Linked DNA regions of Kluyveromyces lactis. The protein of the gene in region 1 interacts with the protein of each later gene in a pairwise test. Links are inferred from orthologs where the notes say so. Each region holds a gene or a part of one and is shown in the gene's direction. Other genes may lie near its edges.

Region 1 (4,528 bases):
AACAAGATTCAAGCCAGTGAAAAATTGAAACCGGTGGAAGTTGAACTACGTAGGATTGAAGAATTGACTGACGAAATTGTTGATGAATTCAACTACTTGAAGGGGAGAGAAGAAAGACTAAGAGACACCAACGAGTCCACCAACAGAAGAGTTAGAAACTTTTCTATCGCTGTCATCGTTGTTTTGGTCGCTTTGGGTGCATGGCAAGTAAACTACATGAAGAACTTCTTTAGAGCTAAGCACATTATTTAGAATGTTCGAATAGTTTCAATGCCTTGAATCTCAATACGATCTTCAAATATTGAATTGAAGAAACATACATCATATGGTGAGCCTTTTATACGTGTACAGTATCTATATATGGAAAATGGCATAATTTCTAAATCGGACGAGTAGAGGGGGAAAGGGATTATATTATGCCTAGACGGGTAGGTCTTTGTTTTTGCTAGAATTCTATGTTGATATGGCCACCAGTTACATTTATAAGTTTTGTACTAAGTTACTAGTGATATTCTTCCAAATGTTCCAAAGATTGACGTGTTTTTTAGGAAGTGAATTATTTAGTGGATTGCAATGATGCTAGTATCTTAATAAACCCATTTTACCAAGTAATTTGGCAAAGTCTAGGTAAGTGACAAATACCCTCTCGCCGTTCGTAGCCCAACTTACCATTGACAGGATAATATGTTGATCCATATCCACTTGAACAGCAGCCTTCTGGACATCTTTAACACTTATCACGTGCTTCCTTAGTGCAACCTTAGGGAACTGTTGCAATCTACCGGTATATTTTAATAGTAGTTCCCATTGTTTATCTATTATACTCTCGTTGTCCATGAAGATCAAGAGTCGATAAGTGACATCCAAGAGTTTTTCGAAATCTATGACGTCAATTCCATCCAAGCATAAGTCCTTGAATTCTAATAATCCGTACCATGATTTACTGATTTGTAATTCCGTATAAAAACTAGAAATATCAGCCCACTTGAATTCACCTTCTTCGGTGAAGCTTAAATATATCGATAGGACTTCATCTTCAATCTCGGTGGGCATTCTGGCCTCATTCCATCTGGTAATTGTGTCATAACTGACATCATTCTTTTTCCGCATAACTACATTATCTGGTCAGCAATGACTCATCGGTTAATATTGTCCTTAACGTAGCCAGAGCTGATGTTATATATTAAAGACTACATAAGGTACTAGCTGCCCGTTCGTTATGAAGTGATGCAGACTGATTCATCGGCTACTTAAGTACTTTTGAAATACTTAGGCGAGAGTTACCCTCTATTTGTGATCCTTGAAAAATTTCAATCTAAACTTCCCAATTTTCAATACAAAAATGGTAGTCCACGCTAAGTTGTAATGATGATCAGTATGCATTACAGTTCGCATTCACGATACAAAGCAACAGTCAGTAAGACGTCATGAGCGGTACTGCTGAGGAATCCGATAAAGCAGAGGCTGTTTCTGTACCTGAAACAGTTTCTGGGTCAGTTGAGAGTCAAGATAAGGAGCATAACTCTACTTCATCTTCGTCTGATTCTACAGATGTGGTTGGAGGCAAGAAAAGAACTATCGATGAAGTTGATGGGAGTTCTGAAAACAACTCTGCATCTGTCGATCAGTTAAAGGACGCTCCTACTGATTCTAAACCAAAGACAGAGGCTACTGAAGATAGTCCAATTAGGGGAAATCAAGGGAACAATCAAGAAAACAGTCAAGAAAACAAAGACGATGAAGATGATGAAGATGACAATGACGACGATGACAATGACGATGACGATGACGAAGATGAAGATGTCGAATCATATAGGAAGAAGCAACGTCGTGAAAGAAACAGATTCTTGGATATTGAAGCCGAAGTCAGTGAAGACGAAGACGACGAAGAAGATGAAGAAGATTCAGAACTAGTTCGTGAAGGTTTCATTACTCGCGGTGACGAAGAAGACGAAGAGGATCGTGGTGGTAGAGTTGATGACAGACTGCATAGAGAATTAGATCAAAATCTTCAAAAAACTGCGGATGAAGACATGCACAAGATCGCTGAAGACTTCAAGAAACGTTATGGTCGTGACTCTTCCAAAGATTACCGTGTACAAACTCAAGGTGGGTATGTACCTCAGAGGTTTATGTTACCAAGTGTTGATACTGCTATTATTTGGTCCGTTCGTTGTAGACCAGGGAAGGAGAAAGAACTAGTGAGAAAGTTGCTAAATAAGAAGTTTAACTTGGATAAATCTATGGGCTCTAAAAAATTAAAGATTCTGTCCATCTTCCAAAGAGACAATTACACAGGAAGAATCTATATCGAAGCTCCAAAACAATCTGTTATCGAAAAATTTGTCAACGGTGTTCCAGATGTCTATTCTAATCAAAAGCTTTTGATTCCCGTGCAAGAACTACCTTTACTATTAAAGCCTACCAAGTCAGATGAAGTGAGACTTGATGTTGGTTCTTATGTTAGAATTAAAAGGGGTATTTATAAGAATGATTTGGCAGTCATTGATCAAATTAGTCAGAACAACTTAGAAGCTCTATTAAAGATTGTACCCAGATTAGACTACGGTAAAAATGACGAAATCGACCCAGATACAAATCAGAGAAAGGCAAAGAGAGCAACGTTTGCTAGTAGGCCTCCTCCTCAATTATTTAACCCTACTATGGCATTAAGGTTAGACCAAGCCAACTTATTCAAAAGAGATGACAGGCACTTCACTTACAGGAAGGAAGATTATGTTGACGGTTATCTTTTCAAATCTTTTAAGATTCAGTATCTTGATACAAAGAATATCCAACCTACGGTGGAAGAATTATCAAGGTTCGGCAGTAAAGAAGGTGATGTCGATCTAGCAGCTATTGCTCAAACTATGAAAAAAGCTCAAGCTTCTAAAGCTATGTTTCAACCAGGTGACCGTGTTGAAGTGTTGACCGGGGAACAACGTGGATCTAGAGGTGTGGTGACTAGAAGTTCTAAAGACGTCATCAGCGTTAAACTATCGGGCTTTTCAGATAAATCATTAGAGTTCCCAATTGCATCTCTAAGAAAAATTTTCGAACTTGGTGACCATGTCACAGTAATAGCTGGTGAACATGAAGGTAACGCTGGTTTGGTTCTTTTGGTGCAGAACGGTCAAGTCACATTTGTTTCTGACCAAACTAGAGAAAATTTGACAATCTCTGCGAATAACTTGAGTAAATCTATGGATTCTACTCCGACATCAAGCGAGTACGCTCTACATGACATTGTTGAGTTAAGTGCCAAAAACGTGGCATGTGTGATCCAGGCTGGACATGATATTTTCAAGATTATTGACGACTCCGGTAAAGTGGCTACTGTTACTAAAGGCTCAATTCTTGCCAAGATCAATGTAGCAAGAGCGAAAGTAGCTGCTGTCGATGGTAATGGTAGAGAAATAAAAATTGGCGATGTAGTAAGAGAAAAGATCGGTTCCCGTAGAGAGGGACAAGTACTCTACGTTCAAAACCAACATATTTTCATTAGATCGAAAACAATAACGGAAAATGCCGGTGTTTTCGTTGTTAATCCAATGAATGTCGAGGCTGTCGCCTCAAAAGAAAACTTGATGTCGTCAGCATTGGATTTATCTAAAATAAATCCAAATATTGCGTCTAAGATGGGACCACCACAAACTACTCAGCAGACGCGGTTAGTTGGCCGTGACGTCGCTTTGAACAAAACTGTTAGGATACGTTCTGCGGGATACAAGGGGCAGTTGGGTATTGTCAAAGACGTCAATGGAGATAAGGCTACTATTGAATTGCACTCCAAAAATAAGCATATTACAATAGACAAAAGAAAACTTACTTACTTCAGTCATGAAGGTGGTGAAGGTATAACATACGATGAACTTGTTAGTAGACGTGGTAGAACTCCACATACCAGATTGGGCCCAAGCTATGTCAGTGCACCAAGACACATGGCTGCCGGTGGTGCGGTGGCAACGAACACTCCGCAACAACTTCCTGGTGGAATGACTCCTGGTTGGAATGCATTTGATGGCGGTAAAACTCCTGCGGTTGGCCAGAACGGAGGAACTTCATCCTGGGGTGGTGCTTCGACATGGGGCGGACAAGGCCCTGGTGGTGCTTCTGCCTGGGGTGGAGCTGCTGGAAACACTTCCACCTGGGGTGGGCAAGGTGCTACATCAACTTGGGGTGGTGCGTCCACTTGGGGTAATAAATCTAGTTATGGAGGCGCCTCTTCTTGGGCAGCAAGCGGAGAATCAGGAGCAGCTTCTGCCTGGGGCGGTGGCAATAAATCAAGCTATGGAGGTACTTCTACCTGGGGTGGTAACCAGGGAGGTGTCTCTGCCTGGGGTGGCAGTGGTAATAAATCACAACGATCTAAAAACACCGGTGGAAGTTCCACTTGGGGTAACAATCAATCGCAGCATAACTCAGGAGAGAGATCCGCATGGGGCAATGCATCCCAACACAACAATAGCGGCAATAGATCTGCTTGGGGTAATCAGGATGCTAGAGGTGGTGGAAGTACGTGGGGTGG
Region 2 (2,419 bases), about 920 kb from region 1:
GAATTTAGTTGGTATTGAAGTAAACAAGGCTACAGACAACCATTACTACGCCAAAGCATTACGTTATATTGCTGGCTTTGGAAGACGTAAGTCTGCTGATTTCCTTGAATCATTGCAAAGATTAAATGAGCCATTATTAGCACGCCAACAATTGATTACTCATGATATTCTAACGAAAACCATTTTCATGAATTCTGCTGCATTTTTGTATATATCCTGGAACGAAAAGAACCAACGTTACGAAGATTTGGAACATGATCAACTAGATGGCACTAGAATTCACCCAGAAGATTACCATTTGGCTACCAAGGTTGCTGCTGACGCCTTGGAATTTGATCCTGATGCTATTGCAGAAAAGGAAGAACAAGGTACTATGAGCGAATTTATCGAATTATTGAGGGAAGATCCAGACCGCAGAACCAAACTTGAGTCTTTGAACCTCGAAGCGTACGCAGAAGAACTTGAAAAGAATACAGGTCAAAGAAAGTTGAACAATTTGAATACTATTGTCTTGGAACTTTTGGAAGGATTTGAAGAACTAAGAAATGATTTCCACCCACTACACGGTGACGAAGTCTTCAAGAGTTTGACAGGTGAATCTGAAAAAACCTTCTTCAAGGGATGTATCATTCCAGTTAGAGTGGAAAGATTCAGACATAATGACATATATGGTGTCACAAATTCTGGTGTCGAGTGTGTTATCAATGCACAACGTCACATAGGTGCTCAGTTGAAAAGACCTGCTGAAGAAGTTTATGAAATTGGAAAAACCTACCCAGCTAAGGTTATTTATATCGACTATGATAACATAAGTTGTGAAGTATCATTGTTAGAACACGACATTAGACGCCAATACGTTCCTATCCATTACAGCAAGGATCCAAGCATTTGGAACGTCGAACAAGAAATGAAAGATCAAGAAATTGAGAAGAAGCTTGCTTTAGAGGAAGCTAGAGCTAAGAGAACTCACCGTGTTATTAACCATCCATACTATGGTAATTTCACCGGTCCTCAAGCAGAAGATTATCTCAGAAGTAGAGAACGTGGTGATTTCGTTATCAGACAATCTTCTCGTGGTGATGATCACCTTGCCATTACATGGAAGTTGGACAAAGATTTGTTCCAACACGTTGATATCCTGGAAAAGGACAAGGAAAATCCATTGGCGTTAGGTAAGACTCTAATAGTGGAGGATCAAAAATATCATGATCTAGATCAAATCATCGTTGAATATTTGCAGAATAAAGTGAGGTTGCTAAACGAAATTACTTCTAACGAAAAGTTCAAAAAGGGAACCAAGAAAGAAGTCATCAAGTTCATCGAAGACTATTCGAAGGTGAACCCCAACAGATCCGTTTATTATTTCAGTTTCAATTACGAACACCCTGGATGGTTCTACCTAATGTTTAAAATCAATGCCCAGTCCCAACTATACGTATGGAATGTTAAACTTACACATACTGGGTTTTTCTTGGTTAATTACAACTATCCAACTGTGATTCAACTCTGCAATGGTTTCAAAACTCTTCTCAAATCCAGTAGCAGAAACAAGACCCAAGACAACAACAACAACAACTCGGGAGGCTACTATGGATATTGAGCAGCGGTAACAACAGTTGCATTTTTTTCTGTTCTCCCTCCATCGAATGTGTTAATAAGACAATATATAAAATAATAATGCAAGTTGTATGTGTATAATAGTAATCGAAAAGATCTCGAATGACTTCATGAAGGTTATAGCTATAGTTTACTATGCACTTTCTTAGAAACAGATCTGAACTTTACCCAAATATCTTGAGAAATCCTAGCTCCATTCATCCTGGCAATTACAATCAAATGAAATCCTCAGAGTTTTCACCAAGACAAGCAACAGGAACGTGTATGTTATCGCTGTCTGCACTTAGTATTAATTCCTGGAGTCCGTTTTTTTTCGTTCGAGACATTTATTGGGAAAGGGAAAAAAAAATGACTAAACTTAAAGTTGAGTCATCTGGTCATTAGAAAGTGAAAAATTACTTTTACTCAGAAATAAACGCAGTGCAAATGCTTACACAGTGATTGATATTGAGAAATAGATCTGAATCATGCACAATGACCACTAACAACGGGTTGAATACAAAGTCGCTCGGAGAAACAATCCTGTTCATCGATTGAATTGGTGTTGCGATGTATATATATATTTATATCGTTTATAAAACAACAAAAAGAGTTCATCTTCTTTATTAACACAGGTGCGTTTCCAAAGTTCACAGCATTTCCAGAATTAAGGTTAACTCCAATTGAACTTTCAAATTATCAGGAAACTCTTAATTCCAGAATCAAAACCCTCTGAAAAATAAACTGGTCGTGAATAATCCAAAGCTCTATTTTCCAACTACTTTCAATAGATCACCACAAGAGATACACGTATTCTCCTTTT

Evidence for each region.
Region 2: the proteins of SPT5 (region 1) and SPT6 interact in binary tests that used the Saccharomyces cerevisiae proteins (3 or more experiments, as listed by UniProt). The link is inferred for Kluyveromyces lactis from reciprocal best matches to the Saccharomyces cerevisiae genes SPT5 and SPT6.

Annotation. Positions count from the first base shown.
Region 1 is NC_006038.1:68,252-72,779, reverse strand, and holds the start of SPT5 (transcription elongation factor SPT5), read left to right. Parts: upstream 1-1,427; coding exon 1,428-4,528. Other genes in the region: ERV25 (Erv25p), read left to right, coding at 1-252; RAD33 (Rad33p), read right to left, coding at 580-1,110. UniProt on the Saccharomyces cerevisiae protein: The SPT4-SPT5 complex mediates both activation and inhibition of transcription elongation, and plays a role in pre-mRNA processing.
Region 2 is NC_006038.1:992,599-995,017, reverse strand, and holds the end of SPT6 (chromatin-remodeling histone chaperone SPT6), read left to right. Parts: coding exon 1-1,600; downstream 1,601-2,419. UniProt on the Saccharomyces cerevisiae protein: Histone H3-H4 chaperone that plays a role in maintenance of chromatin structure during RNA polymerase II transcription elongation thereby repressing transcription initiation from cryptic promoters.